Styela clava: one gene and its partners. The main gene of each other region encodes a partner of the protein of the gene in region 3 in a complex. Links are inferred from orthologs where the notes say so. Each region holds a gene or a part of one and is shown on either strand. Other genes may lie near its edges.

The links.
Region 1: phosphatidylinositol N-acetylglucosaminyltransferase subunit Q-like (region 3) and phosphatidylinositol N-acetylglucosaminyltransferase subunit A-like share a complex: the UniProt entries of both Homo sapiens proteins name them as parts of the glycosylphosphatidylinositol-N-acetylglucosaminyltransferase (GPI-GnT) complex. The link is inferred for Styela clava from reciprocal best matches to the Homo sapiens genes PIGQ and PIGA.
Region 2: phosphatidylinositol N-acetylglucosaminyltransferase subunit Q-like (region 3) and phosphatidylinositol N-acetylglucosaminyltransferase subunit C-like share a complex: the UniProt entries of both Homo sapiens proteins name them as parts of the glycosylphosphatidylinositol-N-acetylglucosaminyltransferase (GPI-GnT) complex. The link is inferred for Styela clava from reciprocal best matches to the Homo sapiens genes PIGQ and PIGC.
Region 4: phosphatidylinositol N-acetylglucosaminyltransferase subunit Q-like (region 3) and phosphatidylinositol N-acetylglucosaminyltransferase subunit P-like share a complex: the UniProt entries of both Homo sapiens proteins name them as parts of the glycosylphosphatidylinositol-N-acetylglucosaminyltransferase (GPI-GnT) complex. The link is inferred for Styela clava from reciprocal best matches to the Homo sapiens genes PIGQ and PIGP.

The regions. Positions count from the first base shown.
Region 1 is NC_135252.1:4,508,927-4,515,130, reverse strand, and holds phosphatidylinositol N-acetylglucosaminyltransferase subunit A-like, read right to left. Parts: upstream 2,177-6,204; 5' UTR 2,003-2,176; coding exon of another isoform or gene 1,984-2,002; coding exon 667-1,983; 3' UTR 509-666; downstream 1-508. Other genes in the region: mitochondrial proton/calcium exchanger protein-like, read left to right, coding at 3,169-4,172, 4,701-4,848. UniProt on the Homo sapiens protein: Catalytic subunit of the glycosylphosphatidylinositol-N-acetylglucosaminyltransferase (GPI-GnT) complex that catalyzes the transfer of N-acetylglucosamine from UDP-N-acetylglucosamine to phosphatidylinositol and participates in the first step of GPI biosynthesis.
Region 2 is NC_135250.1:6,447,790-6,454,136, reverse strand, and holds phosphatidylinositol N-acetylglucosaminyltransferase subunit C-like, read right to left. Parts: upstream 1,994-6,347; 5' UTR 1,894-1,993; coding exon 1,000-1,893; 3' UTR 523-999; downstream 1-522. Other genes in the region: eukaryotic translation initiation factor 2 subunit 1-like, read right to left, coding at 264-501. UniProt on the Homo sapiens protein: Part of the glycosylphosphatidylinositol-N-acetylglucosaminyltransferase (GPI-GnT) complex that catalyzes the transfer of N-acetylglucosamine from UDP-N-acetylglucosamine to phosphatidylinositol and participates in the first step of GPI biosynthesis.
Region 3 is NC_135255.1:3,220,391-3,227,374, reverse strand, and holds the start of phosphatidylinositol N-acetylglucosaminyltransferase subunit Q-like, read right to left. Parts: upstream 3,001-6,984; 5' UTR 2,996-3,000; coding exon 1,991-2,995; intron 1,777-1,990; coding exon 1,701-1,776; intron 1,491-1,700; coding exon 1,285-1,490; intron 861-1,284; coding exon 648-860; intron 142-647; coding exon 1-141. Other genes in the region: deubiquitinase OTUD6B-like, read right to left, coding at 3,910-4,809; splicing factor YJU2-like, read right to left, coding at 5,601-6,113, 6,507-6,984. UniProt on the Homo sapiens protein: Part of the glycosylphosphatidylinositol-N-acetylglucosaminyltransferase (GPI-GnT) complex that catalyzes the transfer of N-acetylglucosamine from UDP-N-acetylglucosamine to phosphatidylinositol and participates in the first step of GPI biosynthesis.
Region 4 is NC_135253.1:15,186,939-15,194,438, reverse strand, and holds phosphatidylinositol N-acetylglucosaminyltransferase subunit P-like, read left to right. Parts: upstream 1-4,477; coding exon 4,478-4,559; intron 4,560-5,333; coding exon 5,334-5,406; intron 5,407-6,044; coding exon 6,045-6,157; intron 6,158-6,619; coding exon 6,620-6,747; intron 6,748-7,125; coding exon 7,126-7,143; downstream 7,144-7,500. Other genes in the region: cytosolic endo-beta-N-acetylglucosaminidase-like, read left to right, coding at 7,217-7,482. UniProt on the Homo sapiens protein: Part of the glycosylphosphatidylinositol-N-acetylglucosaminyltransferase (GPI-GnT) complex that catalyzes the transfer of N-acetylglucosamine from UDP-N-acetylglucosamine to phosphatidylinositol and participates in the first step of GPI biosynthesis.

The DNA of each region.
Region 1 (6,204 bases), on a different chromosome or scaffold from region 3:
CAGGGGAATGAATTGACAAATTATACAGCTCAACCATTATATATCAATGATGCTGCTTCTCAGGGGACTAACAATTTACAGTACTGCCATAGTGTGTGTACCAGGTTAGGGTTAGGCCATAATTTTATCCCGATTTTCCTCATTTTAGTCCTATTACGAGTTCGGGACTGTCTGCGTTAGCCAAGTCCATTTACACAACTTGATGTAAAGTAGGCGAACAAAATCAGTTATCTCCATATTGGTACACACACTTCTGGAGTGCCCAATTTACTAATACTTTGGATGAAAACCTCCTGATACAGAAACCAAACCTCATTGTTGACATTGATATTCAATTCTGTTCCGGTCAATTCAAAGAAGTTTGCCACAAGAAGATAAGTATGGATTAAACTGACAAAACAAAAAACATCCAGTCCCTAATAATGATGCACATTGCTCTATATGTTAAATCGGACCAGCTGCCATTTTCAAGTTTATACAGACTTGCCATTTTAAAGTCAATTAGGAACTGCTTATAAAGTGAATATAATGAATCATTAAATCAAGCGAGAGCAACTTTAACTATTCACAAAAGCATACTGTGATGTCAAAATAAGAGATTTTTAATTTAGAAAAATAAATAAAAACATTAAAATTTGGAAAACAAAATCACAACAGATATATAAACTAATTCATCATTGATGACTTTTTATTTAAATTATCTGAGACGTTTCGGGTCGTTTTTATATTGATAGGAAACATCCATTCCAAAAGCCAACAAATGAGTAGTGAAACATATCCTACTACAACAAAACATCTTCCTACGACAGGACCACATTTTTTAAACAGTAATAATCGTTCATGATGAGGAAGTAAGGGTTGTTCTGCCATTGAATCATAAACCTTTTCTGTTCTTTCAGCAACTTTGGGCCATGTATATAAAACCGATGTTCGATTATACATTTCATAAGGATCCATTTCAGTTCCTTCTCGATGTTTTAAAATTGCGACTTCTAAACCATCTATAAGATGAGATACTGATGGTTCTCTCAAAATTATCATATCGTGAGGAAGTACTTCTGGTACTCCTCCAACTTTCGTGCTCACAACCTGCAATCCACAACATGCAGCTTCTATTATTGCTATACAAAATGCTTCAGTTAAGGATGTGTTTAGAAAAATATGCCCTGTTGTCAGCACATCTCTCACATCTGTATGAGGAACAGCACCTAAAAACTTTAATCTTTCATGCAGCTGGAATTTTTCTCTCGTTTCCTCAAGAAGAAGACGCTTGGGACCATCGCCACCAATTACAAAATCAATATCTTTGTGCCGAGAACATAATATTGGTATTAATGAGGCAAGGAGGTCCATTCCTTTTCTATACACGAGTCGACTTATGACCACAATCCTTATCCTGTCTTTGACTTGATTCTCAGTTGCTGGAGTAAATTTTGTTGCATCAACAGCATTTGGAATAACATATACTTTTTTTGGCTCAATATCGGCACGTAACACAGTATTTTCTTTGCTTGTGTGAGAGACGCATATTACATGATTTGTGTATGTCAGTGTTATTTCTAAAAGTTTATTTGTGATAATGGAGGATCCATCAGCAAAACCGAAGAGGGAGTGATCTGTGAACACAGTCCTAATTCTCAATGTTTGTGCATGGTGAATAGCTTCGATAGCTAATGCAGAAAAAGCAGAGTGTCCATGTAAAATGGTTATTCTCTCGTGTAACAAAACACTTCGAATCAAGGGAATAGTTGCAAAATATGTAGGTAAAATACATTGGTTATACATGACCACAAATGGAAGATAATAAACTTTAAGATAATTTGTGAAGTAACGTATTCCCTTTCTATTGCCATAAGAATGAGTGATAATAATTACTTTATGTCCTCTTGCAATAAGGCATTGCGACAGTTGATATATATGACTTTCCACTCCTCCCACATTAGGATAGAAAAAATCACAAACCATTGCAATAGAGTGTTTCATGTTTGTATTCAAGCTTCATCAAACTTCAACAACTACCGTAACTCCCAGTTCTACCGCATACGTTTGTATTCAACGTCAACGATTCTAGATGAGAAACGCAAGTGGCAGTGCCATTTGAATCACGCCATTAATAACAAGACACGCCACCACGCGATGTCATGTGTCATCGCGTTTGACCTTTAGCATCAGGTTTGCTGTCCGGCCGTGAAAAGCTTCTCACATTACAAATTATCGCTGTACCTACCTGAATTCGTCTGAGGCGCCCTTTTTCATTTAACCAATGTTGCCTGTATAATACGGCAGCAGTAGTAGCACGGTGATATTTAATCATCGCCATGCATAACATTGTTAATCATAGGTCAAGGTCGTCACAGCAGGTACGGTATACCGGTATTGCACTAAGTAATATTACTAACATAATAGGCTTAATACCAGAATAACACAACTTGATTGGTGTTATATAGTCTATTATGGATGTGGGCTATGGCCGATAATCTAAATTGTTGATTAAATCAGTAAATTTGACCACTCTATAATAAATATTAAATTATTAAGAAGAACCAAGCTTTCCGTTGGCCAACAGGATAATGTTGATTTGGGGTTCTATTATTCTATCAACAACGCGAATACAGAAGTAGGCATCATCATAAAATAATTGATAACGTTAGAGTTATATGTTAATGAATATTTTAAAACTACTTCAAAGGCTTATTATAAATTGCAAGGGATTTTGAATCATCACTGCACTGCTGCACTGGGAATGGACCTTATTGTTATTTGACCTACTGTTACTGACCCAAGTTTTTTATAGGCTATTATGATTAGTTTTACTTCATGTGAAATTAACCTTCTTGATTGTTATCTACAAATATATGTTGTCATATACTGAACAATTATTTTATTTGACAGGTATGTAAACAATTTCCTTTTTTATCGGCCACCAAAATTTTATTGTTTGGGCCAAAATCACCTTGGAAAATTTGTCAAAATCTGTCTGGCTGTGCAATGCACTGTTATCTGTATTATTTTACATTAATTTGAATAAATAAGTGAAATATATTTTAGCATAAAAATTTTAATTTATCAACTCAGTTAAAATTAGTTAAGAACAAGCGCTTATAGGAATCATGCTAATATATTGTGACACTGTGCGTTATTATAACATCTGAAACAACTGGATAAAACATGTCTCATTTACGTCATGGCACTAAAGAATTACAAAGAATTTATTCACTGACTTTAAACAATAAAAGAAAAGTTCAGTTCTTGTATGGAATTCCTAAACAATGTCACCAATATTCAACACATTCTGCATCGGGATGGTTTTCGATACATCCATTCAGTTACAGCAGGAGAAGACCTGATTGCACTTCTTATATATTTTCATCATCTAACCACAGATGCAAAGTTGACTCTATATCTTCTTCCTATCCCATCCTTTTGAGGCACCATTCTAATATTGGTCTACACCACACAATCTCAAGAAATATCCATGCTGCAAGTGTTAATTTTGATAAATCAAAAGTAGAAGATACATTGAAGGCTAAATTGAAAAAGACTGAAGCGGACAAAAATCTTTCTTCTGATAAAAAACCTACAGCGACAGAAACCACATCTAGCTCAGTAGCCACTCCCCCAAAGAAACCGTTATGGGATAGATTTGTAGCGGAGTTGAAACATTATTATCATGGTTTTCGACTTCTTGGATTGGACATTAGAATTGCATGGAAAACACTGTGGAAAATATTGAACGGAAAACCAGTAGTTCGGCGAGAACGAAATCAATTCAAAAGAGCGGTATCAGATATATTTCGGCTTGCTCCTTTTAGTGTTTTCATAATTATCCCGTTTGCTGAATTTGCATTGCCAGTGGTGGTCAGCCTCTTCCCAAGACTTCTTCCTTCTACTTTTGAGGATAAAACAGCTCGTGAAGCTCGATTAAGAAAAGAACTGTCTGTTAAATTGCAAATGGCCAAGTTTATGCAAGATACGGTAGAAGATATTGCTATGCGAAGCAAAAAGATGTCAAAAGAAAATCAGGCCACAGAAGATTTTGCCACTTTTTTTCAAAAAATTCGAACTACTGATGAAGAGCCAACAAATGAAGAAATTTTGAAACATGCTAAATTGTTTGAAGATGAATTGACGTTGGACAGCATGACCAGACCTCAACTTGTTGCATTGTGCAGGTAATACGATTTTGTGTGTGATAGTATATAAATATTGCTGAATTTTACTCATTATTGGCATTTTTGAGAAATTGACTGAAAGGTTGTTGAGACCAGTCTTTTAATTGAAGTAGTTTTGCAAAATATTATTGCTAAAATCAGAACCAAAAATTGTTTAAAAAAGATGTCGGTTTAAATTCTATAGGAAAAAAATATAAATGGAAAGATTTCGCTAAATTGGAATAGTGATACAATTGAAATGCAAGTTGTTTGATCTTTGTAAAAGTTGCAAATTATTATTTTGTTTTATAAGCGATTTCCTCGGCTTCAAAAATATTATTTCGTTCAAACTAAGTAAATAATGCATTTTTGTATTCGACTCACTAAAATTGAATTTCAGAATACAAGAAAAATATATTTTGATATATTGATCCATTTGGCTACAAAATTTGAGCTTCAATAAACAAACATTTGGATATTTTCAATTAATTTCAAGGAAGACTGAATTTGATAATGGAATCATCTATTTATTATTCATTCAATTTTCAGGCTCATCCAAGTACCTGCTGTGGGAAGTAACAATCTACTTCGATTTTTATTGCAAATGAAGTTGAATAGGTTGCATGCTGATGACACTCTTATTCAAAGAGAAGGCATTGATAACATGACAGCACAAGAATTACAAACAGCATGTCAAGTTAGTTAGTTTCCTGATCAATATTTTATAATTCATCATATTTATAACTGTCATATACAAGCGGTAAATTATACTATTGATAACATTGTTAAGCTACAATTTGTTGTTGAAAATAACACTAGGGCTGGGCATTTTGGAATACCTGATGATTTCAGAATCAGTCGAATATTTTTTTTGAATCGAATCTCGAATACTTGGGAGTCAAAGGGAGATATGTGATTATATGTTACTTTTTTATTGTAATTGGTCGTCAACAAATGTATTACCGAAAACATAACAAATCACTAAGACAGATTGCGGAACGTTCACAACTTCACACACCATGAAGAAAGACACTTATTTATTAATAACTCACTACACATAATAGTCACATGTCAGAATTGTATTGAAAAAATAGGGCTTCAATAATAAAAAAATTGGGTAATTCACCTTAACCATTGGCGGGAAAAAGCAAAATGGCGGCGATTCGAAATTTTGCTCTGAACCGATTTGAATATTCGATTCGTAGTGCCCAGCCCTAATTAACACTTGAGGTTTGAGTTGCTTCTTGACCTTGAGATATTTTTATGTACTTTTAAAAATATCACTTTGCTGATAATTGAACTAAAGGATTTTAAATTTTCGGTACTTAAAGAAGTTCTTAAATGGCTTTTATTTTCTCTTTTAAATCTTACGAAGCTCATCTTATTACCCTCGATTCAGCATGTTTATGCAATTCACAAGCAGACTGTCACATGACATGTTACAATTCTTTAAAATAAAATTCAGCCCATGTAGTCATTTGACTTTCGGTTCTTGTATTTTTGCGCTCTCTTGTTTTAAATAATATTACTTTTACTATCTATATCAGTTGTCGGGAACCCATGGCTCGCGAGCCATATATGGCTCTTTTGGTGACGACATATGGCTCCCAGAGAATTCGATATTCCAAGAATAAGCTAATTATTGTTACCAGATATCAAACTATATATATATAGCTAAATGTGGGATAGCATTAGCCATTACGTTTAAGAACATGCTATGTTATAATGTTATGTGAGAGAAGTGCCAGATAGACATTGCGACAAAACTAAATAATTCTGGAACATATTTTGTGACATCACCAAGCGATTTAAAGTTGGTAAACGAAGCGAAAAGCATTCCGTCCCGCTTTTCCAGCATAATACACAAACATGTTCTCGTTACTGTTGTTTCTTTGTAGCGCAGCGCTAGCCTACTTACTGAAGGCGAATGCGTTCGTTTCCCACTGATTCCCATTGATGGCAGACATATCGCATGTAAAACCAATACTAATTAGTCTAAATTCGAATTATTTGTACCGGTATCGTTAACGTCAATTCCTTTCTATTTTTCGAA
Region 2 (6,347 bases), on a different chromosome or scaffold from region 3:
AAAGATAAAAAGGCAACAATAGCATTGCAATAATGCTAATCCAGCAATTTTTGTTAAATACTATGACAAATCGTGATCTTCAAAAATATAACTTTTCTATCTATAAGACACAAAAGTTGATAATCAAAATGTCAGTACTATAAGACGATAAACAACAAAAAGAACACATTTTCGCCTATTTCGTTTTGAATCGGATATTGAAATTTGCAAATACATAAATTTCATTGAATCTTATTTATTAACAATCGCACGAAACTCCCTACCTTTTTCTTTATCTACTCTTATAACAACGACACATTCATCACGACCGACACGAATCAACTTATTGATAGATCGAATACGACGTCTCGACAATTCACTAAGCAATATCATTCCTTCAATGTTATTGTATTCAAGCAATTTAACGTAAGCTCCCATCTCTGCGATGGATCGAACATTCACCATGACAACATCTTCAACCTCCGGAAACTTATCCTTATAATATCGACACGAGATCGGCATTTTGAGTTAATTTGCTAACAACTATATAAAAATATACAATTCAAATAAAAACAATTAAAAACATAAAACTTGAATAAAATTCTCTTATATAGATTAACCAATAGTCAAGCATATGATACACTTTTTCATATTTATCCCAGGGACTCAAATCATATGGCAAACTGTGGCCTTTTGTCTGTTCAACAGACTAGAGCTAAGTCAGTGGTTATGTGACGCAACCTGGAAAAAACAACAAATATGTCTACAGTAATTCTTTTGCATATAGACATACAAATGGAATCTATGAACCGAACAATATAAACATATCTTCACATTTGAAACAATTCTTAATTAAAGAGACGTGACACTTCTTTTCGAACAATCGATACATAAACAGTTTGTACAATCAAAAACTATACATCGATAAAATTTTCTGAATGAAACTTTTTCAACCAAATTCATTTCAATAAATATTTAAAAAACAAAAATTATAATATCACAGAATAAGAAGCTGACAAACTATTCTTTTTTGAATGATTTCTTTTCCGTAAATATCCGAGGACTATCCGGGTCAATTACTGCTTCATCCCAAGGTCCATAAATATTATTTTTATGAATTTGAAGAGACATCAACAATAGAGGACAGATGAAATTAACAAAAACAATTAGAAGTAGAAATAAGAGACTTATATACAAATGAATAAAAAGTAGTAACAAAAACGTTGCTATACTCAATAAAACAGTAAAGGGATCCATAAACCACGGAGTTTCACGCCTTAATGTTCTTTGTAACATGGGCCAAAATCCAAAAAGAAATAACGCTAAAATAACAATAGCGAATACATGCTCCGAAGAATCCAATCGAGACGCAAGACATACTGACGAAAACAATGACATATTTAACGATACAGCTCTAGAAATTGGCGCAGCATCAGACCCATAGTCATGAAACAGTAAATGTCCTAAAATCATTAGAACACTCATTGCATATATCGTATCAGTACTAATAGTGTGCGTCAACGTTTTTAATATCGGAGATAAAAAATCAGTTAAACACAATACAACAACTGCTGTTTTAGCATTACTAAATAACGCTTTCCATCTCTCACCCTGGCTCGTTGTTAAATATAAATACACGCAGAAGCCTATTACTGAAACAGGCATCAGCCATTTTAACATAGTATATGGAGTATATAGGCCTTCATCGAGTAACCACCAGCTAACGATTAAACAGCTGACTGTACAAAGTTGTTGAGTAATGACTTCAATTTGACGAACGAGATCCCAATATTCATATTTTCTGATGTAGATGTTCTTTCGCATTTCCGTGAGGAAAGACTCATCCACATAATTGTCTGGAACATTTTGAACTTCGTACAATACTTTTCTCCATTTTTTGCGATTAGTTGTCATTCTTGAACACGCTTATATCAACAGCCAAAATCAATATTACTCTATGAATAGGTTAAAACTGAAATTTATAATAACAATGGCTCAATACCGGTACTGTAATAATAAGCACATACAAGACAATCTATGAACAAATTTATCTGAGGAACCTGTTCTTTTATCTGTTTATAGCCCAGTGGCGGGCCATTACAAACAAAATATCGTATCGTACGGTCTGACGGTACCGGTACCAGTAGGTATGGATTAGTTAGCCGGTACGGTAGGTACCGGTATTTGTTCTACAGTTTCAGATACCGGTACCGTACATGGTGGACGATAAGATAAGTTTATTTCAACTCCATACTCAGCATAAACGGCGATAAAACGGTTGATTAAAACAAATAGAACTCGTTTAGTCATACAGCGGCACAGACTAACCACAAAGTTGAGCGAATTTGCTCTATGATGGTTCACCATGATGGGCGATGGCGCAAACACCAACACGAAACACCAAAAACTCTACAGTCCACACATGTTAGGGGTGAATGATGCTCGAGATCCGGATCCGGCGATCGCTTCTTATTTACACCGTAAGCGACACCCAAATCTTTTGACAAAAAAATCCGTCAACTTTTTTGGGTCTGGCGGTTACCGCAAAGAAACACAATTGTCATCGCATTACAAACCCAATCGTCATAATTATGCGCGAGGGGATTGCCAGACTTCTCACCCTCGCAAGTGGTTAAGGCTTCGCGCCATTCAAATACGCTCAAATCAATTACCTGATGAACTCTTCCTATTCCCGATTTGGGTTATGTTAACGCTGACTCGTCAAATTTCTTCTTCCTCTGGATTTCATCCTTTTTTTCTGTTTGGCACCCCATCACTGGAAAGGATAGGATTTACATATTTATCCTGGGGAAGAGGAGAGCCGATAAGACGGCTCAATCATATGGCGGACCACGGCCTCTCGTCCGGTTACCAATCCATGTCGAGTATGGAACTTGTTAGCTAGTTTATTTTTGGAAGCATAGACTTAAATGCTCTTTTGCAAATTTGTGTACCTACGACAAAAAAATGATAATTAGTAGTAAACAATTTATTTGACCATTTACTGAATATTTGCGCCTACAGATTATAGAATAAACTAAAAATGTCGTTTCGTGGTGCAGGGGAGTGCAATAAACCAGTCGTATCATCGAGCAGCAACACCTTTAAAAAAGTCTAATCTAAGTTGGGAAATAAAAATGGATTTTCATGCGACCTGACATTTCCACTCGTTGTACTATAAGAAAACAACTCCGAGCACGACATGCTGGTAACCATACTGCGGCGAGATGCTGCGTTCCCCTCTTGCTGTCGAAATGCCGTCTGAAATTTGAGTGTCCCCAAGAAGTTGTATGATGAGAACGTTTGAGCAAAGATCGAGAGATGTGCTCAAATAAATTGTTAATCGACATATCACATGTAAAAATTGGATTTTGAATTCGACAGCGATAATGAAGTGTTATTTGTGATCAGCTATTTACGGCAGTACGGTTACATTTTGAAACCTGTAGATCTCAATCAAATATTTTCCGTGTAGTTCGCGCAACTGTTGGTTGCTTGCAGTATTCCACTAACTACGCCTATGTATCTAGATCTTGCAAGTACTGTACGGCTATGTCTGTTTACCTATATTCAGGGTTGGACTAAACATTGATCAAAATAAGGTCACCACGAGAAAGGATGCACCACAGAAGTTTTCACGAACTGGCTATCTCAGTGTTTAATGTAATTCGAGTTGGTAAGACGATTCAGACCTCAATATTGTCTCGGTTTAATAACTTGATTATTTTCTCTTTTTCAAGTACCAGCTTACACCTCTCTATAAATGTTTGTAGGCAAGAGAATTATTTTCAAAAAATACCATGTAGATTAATCATAACTTAGCTTTAATTAGTACCGTGGTAGTGAATACTGAAACATATTCAGAAAACATGGAACACTAGTTTTCATTATTATCATTTTATATAAATAGGGCCCAAAGTATTAAGTGCCTGGGGCTCCTAAGCGGCATGATCCGGCCCTGCTTATATTAACCAGTTGTTTTGGTTTCACTCGCTTCAATAAGACCAGTCACCTCCTGCACGTGTTAACAGCAGCATCGAATATTTAGCGAAATGGTCCAAAGTCGCACTTTGTGTTCAATATCAGTACTCTGATAACAAAAAATTCCTGTTGAATCTAAATTAGATATTGGAACTTTGGACGTCGCTGCACAAAATTCGGGAACGGTCCCACGCGGCGCCCCTTCATCGGGAAAACCTTGCGTTTATTTTGTTATCGTAGTTTTGTTGTGATTATATCACTAGTAGACCGCGAGCCGAGGCCCTGAAAAACGCCTAGAAAGTGAGTTTCGTAGCGCACATCAGGTAACTACCTGAAAATGATTTTAAAATGTTCCCTAAAAATTTAGTAACAAATATTGCCTTGTTCCCACTTCCAAAAGTTGCACGTTTTACGGAAAAGACGCTTTTACTACAAGAAATATGCGCTACGATCTGTCCTATATTCTCTACATTTTCGGCACTGAACAATGACTTCTGCATGACGTAACAATTGAATTAAACCAGCTGTTAGCGAGCGGATGAATATTAGTTATTTCTGCTCGACCTTGCGCTGAGTTGGGCAGGCTTTCCATAGCCCTGTTTAGTTATTATTAGTTAAGTTATGCTAAGACGTTGTTGAAAAATGTATAAGTAAATTATTAAACACTTGTAGATCCTTACCACGGATATGGGCCGCGAGACGAAACCATGAAAACGCCCAGAAAATGAGTTTCGTAGCGCACATCTGGTAACTAAATAAATTCTTCAGTTTTGTGTGAAAACGAACATAATGAACGCATTACAGCTTGTTCCACAATCCTGGTGCGAAATTGAATATAAGAGGTTCCCGGAAATTCAATAACCATAAGTTTACAACGCATACATAAGAACTATACAATTCGAGAGCCCTACAGCACACTAACACAAATGTATTCCTGTAATGTTTTGCCTGACCAAAATCGGACTTCCTCAGTCAATCATAATTTATTAGGTAGATTACGAAAAATATGGCATACATGTAACCAACAACAAAAAATACTTTAATTGTGTGACAGGAGTCGGGAGTGACCTCGAAAGCAGCGACACCAACAACGCTGATTCACATTTGAGAATAAATTTTATGTAATAACCACAAGCAGTTTACAACAAGAACAGCATAAAAAGCTACATCCATTTTATAGAAGCTATCAAGTATCAAACGTATTTATTTTTAAGCAATGAAGTCACAAATTAACATCGTGAGCACGAAAACACAAATAAATCAGTTATTTCTCACTTAGAAATTTACCGCAAAAGTCAAGAAAATTAAATGAATGTACAATATGTACATAACATAGTGAACAGAAATATTACAATTTACAATTAATCTTTTTTTAGTTTATGTGGTTATGTATTTGAACAAAGGCAATAATATTTCTAGAAACAGGACTACGACACTAACAAATGTCCGAAAAAAAAAACAAATGTATGATACTTATTAAATCAACTGTAATATCTAATTCACTTTCTTCTGAATTGTTTTCGAAATCCACTATCTCAAAAATCGACTTTTCCTCTATAGGTGTACTGTGATTTCTGCAGTCAATACAAAAACAAAAATCTGTGCAATTTAAGTTGATTTTGGCACACTTTCATAAATTATTTTGACTATTTTTCTTTGCAGTTTGCCAACTCAAGAACTGATTTGAGGGCCACATGCTTCTTCAGTGAATCATTGTTGGGTGGAGAGTATAATCCTTATGTTTGACAGTGTTAAATAGACGTGCCCTGGTATCATTTACATTCTTCATATCCTCTTCAAATTCCTCAGCTTTATTTATTAATACCTCGTTAACCTCAAAAGATCTTCATAGTCGAGGGAAAAAAATGAATTGAAAATCTCAATGAAGTCTCCAACATGAATTTGATGGGCAATTCCAATTGCAGAAAAGTGCTAAAGTATTTCAATATGAATAGCCCATCTAAGCTGTTTGCAACTATTATGATTCTCATATACCTTTAAGCTTCAAGACTTCTTGTTTAATCCATTTTATAGCACTGATAGCAGCAGGGATCAGAGCCTGCGTTAGGTCGGATTGGTGGAACATTGCCGTTTTCTTTTGTAGTACAGTATCTAAAATAAGGAAGAAAATAATATTTGGAGCAGCATGATTTTAAAAATACCCCTAAATACTAACTAATACCTTGAATACATAATGCATTTTATCTGATGTACTAAATGAGCGTATATATGCTCATTGCATGTTCTACAGTCCAGCAGTGTTTGCATACCATTACTAGACTATATCTACACTAGATTTTGATATATCACAGTCTGAAATGTCCTTTGACAGTATGAGTATGGACTATAGACTACGGTATATTTTGAAACATCAACTGTTTGTCTAC
Region 3 (6,984 bases):
TTTATACTTCAGTTTATCTCCATTGCGCAGGAGCGTGGAACATTTCATAGATTTGATAAATTTCTGAGGTTGGAAGATTCTAACAAACATCGAATACCATGGAAAATCTGATATTATGAAAACTACTCCACTGATAGCAACCTGAAAATAAAGATAAGCGTTTATAGATTCATTTGTCCTTGTCAGTGGACAGGGGCCCAAGGATTTCTTGTCTGATCTTTTAGCAAGCATGCAATTATCATTTACTACAAGCATTATTAGGTATTTGAGCAGGCATTATAGTACTTTTGAAGTTAACGTCTACAAATGCACATCCTGTGGGTTTGAATCCCATTGCAGTTGAACAATCTCAAATGCTATATTGAAAATAGCAGCTTCTTACTGGTCACGAGATAAAGAAAAAAGGCTCTCTAGAAGTATGTGTACCAATATGGAGGTGACTAGTTTTGTTCGCCTACTTTTCATCAAATTGTGTAACGGGACGGAAGCCTAAACACAAAACAGTCCCCGAATTCGTAATAGAACTAAAATAAGGAAAGTCGGAATAAAATCATGGCCTAACCAACCCTAACCTGGTACACATACTACGGGACTAACGGGGAAAAATGCTATGGGAATCAAATTTAGATACAAACAAAATAACAAACCTGAATAGCTAGCACAGCAACACGCAACAACATAAATATTCCGTAGTACAGAGCTGTTGTGGGTAATAGAAAGAGTAATACTGTAAATAAAAGAGTTCCGGCAAACAGTTGGTCAGCTCGTTGTCCAGATTCTTCTAATGAATCAACCCTTTTCCTTAGTGGATTCCATTTTTTCCCTCTAAAAAGCCTCCAAAGTGACATCAGACCGGCCACCTGAAAATTAGCAAGTAGCAATTTAAAGCGGTACTCCCGTAGTATGTGTACCCAGTTAGGGTTAGGCCATAATTTTATGCCGATTTTCCTTATTTTAGTTCCATTAAAAGTTCGGGGACTGTCTGTGCTAGCCAAGTGAAAATCCCCCTGCCCATAATAATCAGTTGTACACAACTTGATGTAAAGTAGGCGAACAAAATTAGTTAGCTCTATATTGGTACACATACCGGTACCTACTTCTGAAGCGCCATAAAAGCCTCATACTCGATACCGTTACTGAAAGCGAAATATTGAAAAAGGTTCTCCCATACAAAGCTCCCATCAGATATTACTTTAAAATGACGGAAAAGTTTGAGCAATCCTTAACGAATAATCAAACCCAACAGTTTCTAAAGTTTTTTTTATGAAAGTAAATATTACTCACTTGAAGACCATACAGACGTCCAGCATAGACATAAAAACAATAAACATGAAAGCTCAAAGTCGAAACTGCATCAGCGATGATAGAAAGGAGAAATGACAATCCCAAACAAGATGTCATCAAACAATATGTGATCAGATAAGGAATGAACTCCATCATCATTTTCGAATATTCCAGCCACAATCGAACATGATAGAGGAAAAAATGACCTGAAAAAAAAAAAACCTAATTGTTCCAGATTTTTTTTAAAATTAGAATAAAAAACATCTTCATACATAAACAATAAAAATTATTTTACTAACGCACCAGAAAGTGACCAGTATTGACATTTTGTTAATATTATGAAGTATAAGGTTATATTTATTGTTATTTTAGCAAATGATCATATGTGCTACCAAAAATGCCACACCGCCTCTTACCCAAGAATTGGTTTAGTGGATGGTTCAATTTCAAGCCGGCTGGAAACCCCATTAACCATTCAATCAATTCTTCAACCTAAAATTAAACATACAAAACATTATATTTCAATTTAATTCATTTTCCAACAGAGATATAAAATATATAAAGTTGTCATACAAATCTGATGCTATTGCCAGTATAAAATAATTTCACTATAATTAATTCAAATGTTTTATGTTTTTGAACGTCGGGACAGAAGTTCAAAAAGTCTACAATGATTTATACGTTATTGGTTTTAAATCTTTCTCACCTGATTCGCTATCGACTCCACATAAGGTAAAAAGGCTTGTTTTGTAGTTCTTGTGGAAGGCAGAAAATCAAAATAATACAGACTCCCTAACAAACCCACGCCAAAAATCATGTCCACGAATATTGTACTAAGTATGTCTTTATCTTCATACTTATTGTGAGAATCAAATACTTTTTTTCGACTTCCAAACAAGTGCATAATGCTCTCTTCAAATTGCGAAAACCTCCTTTCTGCATGAGAAAGTAAGCTAGACAACTCAGTTATACTCTGCCATATACGTTGGATACAGGTATTTGACTTGTAAATACCTGAATATATTTTCTTGAAGTAGTACAAAGGGAGATGTATAGAGCCAAGTAGCACAGTGATAAATATTGTTAGCAGGTAAATTATAATGCTGAGTTCCCTTTGCATGCAGCAGTGTGTTACATGAACGCCATCATTTGAATTTATTCCATATTCATATGAAAGAATCCCATTTTTGCAGGCAGAAATCAAGACAAACAAATTTTCAATAGAACCATTGGAATTGTGTACATTCAAAAACGAATCTGAGCAAAGTTCACCATCCCAGATGTCTTTCTGGTTGTAAATTACTGCCATAACATCTGCATTAGTTTTTACATATTGATTTGTTAATAATATCGATGATGCACTGATATTTTGTATTTCAAGATCCTCAGCTGTAAAAACGGTTTCATCATCACTGTTTTTTGACATCTTTATGGAAATCCATGTCTTTTGTCCAAAGAGTTTTGGTAGTATATGTTCAAATTCATGTTTCTCCTTGGATTCATTAGAAATCCAAGTTCCCAAGGGACGTAGTTTGACAGTATCATGCAGTTTTTCATATTTAGAAAGGTAAGCATTCAAACTCTTTGGTGTAACGGGAAAGTGTACAACGGCAACAACATATAATACAGTGTCGTCATCATTTGAAGCACCAATCAATATTCCTGATTGTGAACGGATGCAACATTCCGGTAGAAATATTTCCTTCAACATTTGAACTCAGATTCTTGCATCTAGATAAAGTTTCACGCACTACTGTTCATGCCCATTCAGTAAAAACAACAAAAAAAACATGATTATGCCATTACGACACTGATTTAGTGAATCAAAAGCTTTATTAATGTTTAAAAATTCTTTATTCAATTCAAATGTTGTGGATGAATTGAAAAAAATTTCAAAATCTCCATTAACTTATATTAAATCTCACAATTGGATTTTAGAATCATACTATCTGGATGTATACAATCTTATCAGTATCTATTTAAGCAACATGATTGCTGATGAAAGCAGCAATATATAACTTCAAAATAAAAGTACTCTGCAATTATAGACTAGATCCACATCAGTATCAGTAAACTCAATTACTGACTGAAGTTTAAATTGAATCAGAAAGCAATAATGCTTGTTACGCACAATCTCATTTAAAATTTCACTACTCATGATAAGGATCTATAATGAAATATATAAGGGCTCTTCAAATTGAGGGTCCCGACCCCCGATGGGTTACGGAAGGGCTCAATGGAAGTAGCGGTATTTTTCATTATTATCAAGTACTGACAACTTACATTAAAACGAAATATCGATCAAATTTGGAACCAGTATTGAGACCCAAGCAAGATTCGACTTTTTGTGCGAGAATATGCAAGCACATCGATCTCATTAAAGGCATTATAAATTTTATTACCGGTACTTTATTTTAATATTTTCGGTATCATTAAATTTTACATTTTTTTTATTATAGTTACTGAGGGTCGTGAAGAAATTTTGCCATGCCAATTGGATCGTGATAAAAAAGTTTGAAGAAAACTGCATTATAAAACATATTCCAATTCGTCCGTTGAATAGACATGTGTGAGACTTTGTATCTGGCTATAAACCGTCATGCACAAAAAATTAACAACAATATGCTATGATAGTCCATTTGAATCAGGTTTTGATGGTTGAACTGAATTATAGTGCTCGCCCAGCCCCAGCTCATGTCTATGATATGTTAGTATTAGTGGATTTCCTTTATATTCCTCACCAATTTTTACAGTGGGCATGTCTGCTTGTATCACATGAATTGAAGTCTGTAAGATATGGGACAAAGCTCGCAGTTCCAATTGACCACCCCAAGCTGTAGTCTCTGCAACATCTTTGCAATACTGTTTGAATTCCTCAGGAGAATAACAATCGCCTGTATCAGAACTAGTTAGAAAAGGGGAAAAATCGTCTTCATGAGAAAGCATAAATGTTGATGTCAATGTTCTTAATTCTTTCGGTGAATGTAACATCATCAAATTCATCTTCAGCTGATCTACAACTGCATAATATAGACAATTACCATCAGGTATCATGGGCTTCACTTTTAGACTCATTTTTGTTAATATGGTCTTGATTTTTTCCTCTTCTGCATATCTTTGTGTGTTAACATAGTCCTTTTCAGCTTGTGCAGCAATTTCAGCTTGTTCTTTCACTTTCAAAGCTTTTTTTTCTCTCTTCTTTTGCGCTTTACTAACTCTTTGTTGAGAAGGTTCTGATCTGCCAGGTTCATCATTTTCATTAGTAGCCTTTGAAGTATCGGTCATATCCTCACTATTCATTAGCTCCAATTTTTCTGTCAATTCAGCAATTTCTTTATCATGTTTCTCATAAAGTTCACTTTCAAGAATTGCAATTTGTGCTTTCATCTCTTTGTTTTTCTTCTTATCTCCTTTCGGAACTCCCTTTTTCAAGGATTGAATTTTCCCTTGCAATTCTTTTTTCTCCAATTTATGCCTGGCAGACAATGCCTCCTGTGGATCATCGATATCCTCGTTATCTGACATCTTCTCTTTAAATAGAGAACCCAGAAATTACAATCCTGAAAAATAACAATATTGACTATTATTATAGGCAATAAATTATTTCTTACAGACTGCAAAATGAGAATTTTTTAAATATTGATCTCGATAGCTACAAATAAAAGGACCTGGATTGAATATCACACTCAGAAGAAAGGTGCACATCCTAATAATAAGTGATAGACTATTACCCTTGAATTGTTATCTATGTTCAACCAAATATGTCAAATGGACTGACTTGTAGTATTTGTGGCAACGCACAAAACACTATTTCAAAAATCTGTATTTACAAAGCAGCACATATTTATAACAAGCAAAATGAAAATGCCGATTGTCAAAAACCAACAAATGTGGTCTTTTGCATTAGCGGACAAAAATGAACCTTCACACATTTAGAAAAATAGGATGTTTGATAGTAAGCAAAAAGGGTCATAGTCTGGTTTAAATCATGACTTAATGCTAAAAAAGTCAATATAAATTTCATCTCAGTCCTACTTCCAGTCCTAAGCAACCTTGACTCTTGTCGAGAAGAATATAAAAAACAAATGTGAGTGAAAAAACTCGTTAGAAGTCCCTGATATAAATTACAATTAACATTGCATTAACCTACGCTAAAGCGTATCATATGGTTTCATAGTAAAAAAGTAATGGATTTAACTTGAATCACGACCCAATGTTTGTATAAACTTATTGTCAGCCTGGATGCATAATTCTTATTTACAAATTTGTGCAGGAATATGCAGGTATGATTGAATTCATAGTTGAAAAAATACATTCTAATCATCATCGCTGGATGTGTTACTATCATCACTTCCATAGGCTCCGAGCAAACTAAGCCCAGCCGGTTTGGCTAGTACAGTATCTTTTAGAGTTTTCTCAGTTTTAATCACTGACATTGTTTTGGTTAATTCTGATTTATCCTCAGATTGATGATTAAAATTATCTATTTTTGGGAATTTTTCGATCGACTTTTTTACTACAATACCCAAAAGCTGGGCCTTTTTCTTTATAGTATCCTTATTAGAAGGAACAGAAGAAATACTTTTTGTGCTTTTATTAGTAATTTTTGTTTCTTCTGATGACAATAATAAATCGGAAGGGGCATTAATTTCTTCTTTCACAATATTCTTAACATCAGATTTGTCATCTTCATCATCACTATCATTCAGTCGTCTTATTTTGTTACTCCCAAAAATAGTCTTCATTTCTTCCTCATCTTCTTCTGCTTCTCTCTTTTTTTTTTCTTCCACTGTTTCTTGATAGCTCTGTAGCATTCCTTCGTAATTGACCTAGATACACCAAGAAATTCATATAAATTAGAAATATTCACTCTCCTCATTGCACAGGGATGGACAAATCTAAATAGTAATGTAAAGTTTTACTTTGTGACTTCAAAATCTGTGATACTAAAATTGCTCAAAATAATAATTTTTCGAATGGGACATTCTAAATTAATCCAGAAATCAATTTTAAATTATTATAAATATTTAATTTGTTTTTTAACATTCTAGCCCTCGACAAACATGAAATTTTATAAACACCTCATTGTATGCTATTTATTTAAAAACTGGGAGTCAAATAAAATTTACAAGATACAAATATAATATACAATATGGAATAACCACAATCTTATGAAGTAACAAATTCTTCAATGTCATCGAACATCATATTGAAAATCCTACCTTAGCATGTCGTTGATTGAGATCTCTTAATTCTTCAAGATTTTCCATTCTCTCCATTTCTCTTTTTGAGTCCCTTGTTCTCATTTCAAGCAGTTTCATTGGATTTCCTTCATCTTCTTCCCTTTGTTTCTCGATTTCTTTCTCTTGTTTTTGGAGAAGTTTTTCTGCCTCAAAATTTCGAGTGGCACCATGTTCAATGACATAATCTGTATTCTCAGGATCAGTTTTGAATGTTATTTCAGCAACACATTTTGTGCATTTGATATAAAATCGAAAAATTCTCAAACCAAGATAATCATCATCTTGGACAGTTTCTTTTCTTGAATTAAATTTTGTTCCTTTGTAAATGTAATTTCCACAAGTCTTACACCGCATATGAAAAGGTGCCATAACACGTATTACATATTGTCTATCTTTAGCTAACTTGAGCTTGGGTATCAATGAAGGATCATAATCCGGGGGATAGTATTTGTTGAGA
Region 4 (7,500 bases), on a different chromosome or scaffold from region 3:
ATTTGATCCCCTGTCGCATAGCGTGACTTGTCACGGCCTAATTAATTTTTACGATAGGCACACTAATATTTTGCTGAGTGGGATTTTACAGCAAACTTTGTGGGACAACACTAAAAGGCTGAAGAAAGAAACGGACGAAGTGGCGGAAAAACGGAAGTTGAAGTGTTCCCAAAGGTGAAAAATTGAAAAACACTAAAAGGCTGAACACTAAAACGAAGAAGTGGAAGAAATTTCTTCCGAGGTGGCTGAAGTCACTAAAAAGCTGAACACTAAAAGGAAGAAGTGGATGAAATTTCCTCCGACGGATAGTGAAGAAAATTTAATATATTAGTTTAATATTTATGAGACAATGTCCTCGTGGATTCGTTTTATGTTAATTTTTTATATGGTATTCTCAGTTCGAGCCTGGCGAATATTGAAGGCCATGACATTCTCGTTATATTGTTTTTAATTTTGATGTAATGTGCAAGCAAATTGCTATATATATATACTCATTTCTAGCTGTTACTGCCGTATAATGAATTTGTTGCGCCACAATGGGTGGGTTACGGCGAGGCATATTTTGCAAATAGATATCTTGTTTTTCAAGACGCGTGAAGCTGATTTTGTTATCAAATCAATTTTTCCAGTCAACAAACCTTGTAATTCATAATATGTTTGTGGCCCACCTCAAAATGGCTCTGAGGCTTACCAGTTGGCCATGGCACATTGGTTAAGAACCAGTGGTCTAACAGGACTTCAATTTGACTAATACATCATTATTTCAAGTCTTCGTGCGTGAACTGCTTGCAAAATTTTAAAAATAGATATTAAGTTTAAGGAATGAAATACGGAATCAAAAATTAATTATATTCGGGCACAATACCACGGCAATCTATGTACATAGATGTGTGGTCAACTGCGCGATTGTTATTTATTTTTTTATTCCTATTTTCGTATATACAAAATACAACGGCGATCCATGGACTTAAAAATGTGTGGTAAACTGCCCGATTATAATTAATTCTTGATTCATATTTTCGTATTTATAAAATAATAAAAGATATATATGCGGACATTGAAGTGCCCGAATATAATTAATTTTTCATTCGTGTTTACGTACTCACGAAAAAATTGTCGCCAATCAGAAATATAATTTATACTTTATCCCGCTTTTTGGCAAATAATTTGGATAATAGTTGGTATTCAAACTTTTACTAGGATGATTTTGTGTTGCGCAAAATGTTCAAATCCATGACCGATAGCACTATTTTAAATGCTTGCCGTATTAATTTAATTCTGATAACGTAACTCATGGTATATGAAAATATATAGCAGTAATCTGCAAACATGAAATGCATGGTAGACAACGTGCTGTTGATGACAGTTATTCCATTGTTTATTGTATGCAAATTCCTTTATATAGGCTACTATAGATAAGCCTCAATTACTTTATTTTATTTTCGAATGTATTCGAAATAGTGAACTATTCGGTATTGACCAACCATCCCCTTAGGACTGAAGCAATTTGATGCAACTCAATTGTGAAAATAAGCGCAGGAAACAATTCTATTGTACCATCTTAAACAGTGCTGCAACAGTAACAGCATTGGTTCCCGCAGTCCCACCCCAGAATATGTGACTGTGGTATTTCACTTATTGTTATATTAAATTAAGGCTGGACTCATTACAGATTTTTCATCTCTAAAATATTAGTACAATAATTTGTGACTCTGGGTTATACATAAAGGAAAACTTTGTACACACAGATCTCTGTCATCTCTGTGATATATGGGCTCATTATTGCGATAGAGCTTGCTAAACAAGGAGATACCGAGCATATATTCATGCTAGCAGCATAGTGTAATAAGACAAAGACAGTTTAATTGCATCGGGATTACTATAAATAAGAAATGCTTTCAGGAATTTGCTCGAACACAAAAAAGTAATTAAACCATTTAAAATAAACCTCCAACCGTAAACCTCCAACCGAAAACTGTTCTACCACGTGTTCCCTCATTTCGTTTACCGCTACTCAAATGGAGGTACAACAAATGGGAATAAAATAGCATAAATATAAATGTCAGGATAAAAAAACATGATCGTCAATTACATGCCCGGCGAATGAACTTGTTCAGTAATAGTTCTCTTCAAATATATACGCGAAATATTTCACTCTCAACGGAGTTTAAATTAAATTTCAATCAAAATTAAATGTTTTCTAGAAGTCGGTATCTGATCGTTTATCAATTCATGTCAAGGCGTACCATAACTTAGTCGCAGAGAAGGTGTGCTGTTGCAAATTATTAACAAAATCGCAACGAAATTTCGGGTATACGATCCATTTAAATTTGCGTGTGATAGAAACTTAGGTCATTCAGTGGAAAACTCAACTGAGAGATTGAAGGAAATTAATTACCCACACAGCACGTCAGCATCTCGAGTGATGATCAGGGTGTGTTGCGCTGAACTTGAAAATGAACGAAGGCAGATCAATAGAAGTAAATAACGAAAAATTCATTTACATTCCCGTCTGGCAATTGGTGTTATTTGGAGTGTTTGTTCTTCTTCGCTAAACGGCTCTCTTTCTTTCGAATCGCGTAAATCGGATTCGAAATGAATTGCGATTTGAATCGATTCAATTCATAAATCTAAAAGTGGCATGCCTACTCATCAGTCCGCTTTCAGGGTCTTCATCCAATCTCACTTCCGTCGGGATATGTTTTGGCTATTTAACTCTACTAATGTTCGGTATTTTAGTGACTTCAACCGCCTCAAAATCGATAGGACAAAATATCATCTACCGTAGCCTACTTCTTCCGTTTAGTGTTTAGCTTTTTAGTGACCTCAGCCACCTCACCACCTGTCGAAAGAAATTCCATCCACTTCTTCCTGTTAGTGTTCAGCTTTTCAGTGACCTTCGCCACCTCATTATTCGTCGAAAGAAATTTCATCCACTTCTTCCTTTTAGTGTTCATGTTTTTAGTGACTTCAACCATCTCATTATTCTTCGGAAGAAATTTCATCCACTTCTTCTTTTTAGTGTTCATCTTGTTAGTGACTTCAACCACCTCATTATTCGTCGGAAGAGTCGTTGGTCGGAAGAAATGTCATCCACTTCTTCCTTTTAGTGTTCAGCTTTTTAGTGACTTCAACCACCTCATTATTCGTCGGAAGAAATTTCAACCATTTCTTCCTTTTAGTGTTCAGCTTTTTAGTAACTTCAACCACCTCATTATTCGTCGGAGGAAATTTCAACCACCTCTTCCTTTCAGTATTCATCTTTTTAGTGACTTCAACCGCTTCATTATTCGTCGGGAGAAATTTCATCCACTTCTTCCTTTTAGTTTTCATCATTTTAGTGACTTCAACCACCTCATTATCCGTCGGAAGAAATTTCATCCACTTCTTCCTGTTAGTGTTCAGCTTTTCAGTGACCTCCGCCACCTCATTATTCGTCGAAAGAAATTTCATCCACTTCTTCTGGCAACCATTACAAAAATATCAATATGGTGTGGCAGATAATTTTTTTTTTCTTTTCTAGTATTTATTTATTTTTTATTTTTTGTTTACTGTATAGTATACCCTAAATTTATCGCGTTTTATTCTTACTTAAATAACTTCTCACTGGTTGTGTGTGTGTGTGGCTGGTGGGTGCATGTGAGCGTGTGTGAAATAACTTAATAATTTTAGGTGATTAAACACGTACCACTTCCTCTTGGCAAAACCTTCCATCTTATATTTTGTACGTTATAAACCTTATCTAAGGTTTTGTTTGCTCCCCTGATTTCATAATCAGTTTTTATTTATTTGTTTTTATCTGTCAAATGTATTGTTATGCTGATTATGGAGTCGAAATAAACTTATACTTATATTCTTCCTTTCAGTGTTCATGTTTTTAGTGACTTCAACCACCTCATTATTCGTCGAAAGAAATTTCATCCACTTCTTCCTTTTAGTGTTCATGTTTTTAGTGACTTCAACCATCTCATCATTCGTCGGAAAAAATTTCATCCACTTCTTCCTTTTAGTGTTCAGCTTTTTAGTGACTTCAACCACCTCATTATTCGTCGGAAGAAATTTCAACCATTTCTTCCTTTCAGTGTTCATCATTTTAGTGACTTCAACCGCTTCATTATTCGTCGGAAGAAATTTCATCCACTTCTTCCTTTTAGTGTTCATCATTTTAGTGACTTCAACCACCTCATTATCCGTCGGAAGAAATTTCATCCACTTCTTCCTTTTAGTGTTCAGCTTTGCTTTTTAGTGACTTCAGACACCTCACCACCCGTCGGAAGAAATTTCATCCACTTCCTCCTTTTAGTGTTCAGCCTTTTAGTGTTTGGGAACACCTCAACTTCCGTTTTTCCTCCACCTCATCCGTTTCTTCTTTCAGCCTTTTAGTGTTGTCCAACTTTGTGTAGTATTTATTATTAATTACATATATTGCTGCCGTCGTCGGTTTTTAGGTGCTTTTGCCTCTTTTATTTATCAGTTCATGCCTCAACCAAGCCCAGGTCCATCTCCGGAGAGAGCGGCGTATGGATTTGTCCTTTATCTAGCAAGCTACATTTTATTCGGTGAGTGAGTCAGAGTTATTTTTCAGTCCTGAGATTGCATAACTGCTGAACTGGAAAGGGTGATCAAAAGAGATGTAAACAAAAATATTTGAATCAGTGAATGAGCATTGCTAATTTAAAAAACCTAGTGCTTCTTTGTATCATGTACCGGTATTACGATATTGAAGGTTGCTAAATGACAATACAATTTTCATGTCTGAGGATTTTATAGTGTATTCTTAATAGCCACAGTTTGTTTTCTTGGTTGGGCAAATGTAATAATCTGACTGTAATAATCTGACTTCCCACAATATTCACATGTGTATGGTTTTAATGTAGTATTGTTTCTAGTATGAGATTTTATATATGTGATTTATGTAATGGACGCTTTCCACATTTCTTAAAGTGTAACGCTCATCTTTACAAGTATTTGGGAAATACTATGACAATTAAAAGCAATTCTCTCCAGATGTCTGTTCAGTATGAATTTGAAAATGTCTTTCATTTCCATAGGATTTGCCTTTTGCTCTCCTCTCTTACGCCAATACAGTAATTGGCTTAAGACTTTTTTCTAACAATGTCTCATATATCTGTATATGCTAATTTAAAGAAATAATTTAGCAAAGGCCCCTTGACATTTCATATATCTGTGTGGTTTTTCAAAGATATGAACTGCTAGCTTTTGAATCTCTAATGAGCAAATGACCATCGTTTACTTGGTTGTTGTTTTTTGTCCATGTTATCAAGTGAATATACCACAAAGAAATAATAATGACAATGATGTATATTTTTCAGCACTGTTTGTGATATGGGCATATGTTCCTGATGAAGTCCTTCACAGTATTGGCCTAACTTATCTTCCTACCAAGTAAGGATGAAAATTAAAATATATTTGCTCATTAAACTTTTTAAAATGTAGGAAGTCAAAACAAGTCTTTATGAAAATACTTTGAACCTAGTAACATCTCGCTTGTGACTCATTCCTATATTTCATGTTGTGATCAACCTGTTTTTTTGTAGTTGTAGCTGAGGAGAAAGTTTGAATGTGTATGTCCTAAAATCAAACCTTTTGTACGGAGCAGGTTGTTCAAATGTTAATTGGGAACATGTATCCATCCCTCTTTTTGAGTTGTCATTATGTAGTATAAGCTAAGTATAGTTAGACTCTGGTTCATCTAATTGCCAGGCGCTGAAAATAGATGTATAAGTTTATACTGCTGTTTTTAGGATTTCTTTGGCCTGGGAAGATATGATACTTGTATAATTCGTATTATGTTATTTTTCTCTCATAGTTATACACAAATTTTAAAAATATATGCGAGTACAAAAATGCTTTTTGTATAAGAATTTTTGATCAGGACCATCAAAATATAAAAAAAAGTACTCTATATGGTACTCGGATGATGCATAGAGTCATTTTGAGATAGATGAACATAATAATATGCAATATTGCCCAATGCATTTATTCATTCTTCTTATTGATTTATTACAACCCGATTTTTTCAGAGCTTGGGCAATAGTATTACCAATCCTTGGTTGCATCGGTGCAGTGTCTATTCCTGTTGTATATTTCATCATCAACATACTTCATACTCAAGCATTGGAAGAAGAAATTGAAAGTAAATATTATTTTACCTGTTTTCTGACTTATATTTCCAAGAATAGCTTTAGAAAAATAATCTGGTTTTAGTGGTTTATAGAAATTGAAGCTTAACATTATCCCGATATATATTGTTTTAATGTTTGATTGTATTTTAATACTCTTATTTATTATTAGTTATCATTTTATAGGTAAAATTAGAAGACTGATCGACCTGTTTTTTTTTTCAAATTAGTCATAGCTTGAATGTTTCATTCGATAAACACTATCTTATATTGATTAGTTTGTCATATCATGATTGCCTAGTGCAACAAGCAATACAGCATGATTTAAATCATGATTTGGTTTAACGTTTAGAAAGTATTCGAATATAGGAAACTTGTTTTAGTAATCCATTTTAATTTTTTCATCAATTTTAATAAATTGTTTGATATATTGTAATATTTTTATATTTATGTATATTCATTTTTATTTATTCTAGTACACTCTAAATCAAATATCCCAGAACCAACAATACAAAACTTTGACTTGAGTTCAGGATCTGTTCCACCAATTGTTGAACTGGATCTGGCAACTGTTTGTCGCCATTTGAATCTAGGCAAGGATAAAGTAAGATGGGATTGTTTTGTTTTACTCAGCATTTTTAGTTTAGAAATCATGTCTTATTTTATACTTCTTAAACAAGGTTTCTGTACTTGAATGCTGCATCATATCAAAGGAATAAAGTGTGTCGAAATAGGCAAAAATGGAATGCATTGAAAAGGGTTGTTTTAAGTAGTTCAATTTCCAAATTTCATCACTGATCTTGTCTGGCAGATCAGAAGAAATATGTATTTTATTGTTAAAGAATACACCACAAAAACTTTATGATTTTTGCCAAATACTTCTTCTTATAATGTTATTACAAGCTTCTGGAATTGCTGTGTACACTTGGTCAACAAAAGTAAATCCATGCATTTACTAGGTTTCTTCTTCTACTGTATTCAGCTGTCACCAGCTAGTTAAAGAAATAATATCAGCCACGCAAGTGTAAAACAATTTTTTCATTTTGTTTTTCCTAGAAAAATAATTGAAAATTATGAGTGAATCTAAAGAAGTGAAGTTACTGAATGTTGATTTTGAAAAGCCTTCTCAATTTACTGGTAGAAGTGTGGAGGATGGTTTACCAGTTTCAGTTCCTTTGCATGATTTGGAAGATTTACTTTCATGGAAACCTGACGATGCAGAAGATAGTGGGCAGATATTCTCTGTAGCTACAGTTCCTTATCTTGGGAAAAATATTCCAACTGGATCAACAAAAACCCTTGTATGTCATGACATGGCTGGTGGATATTTGGATGACAGGTAGGCCTATATATATCA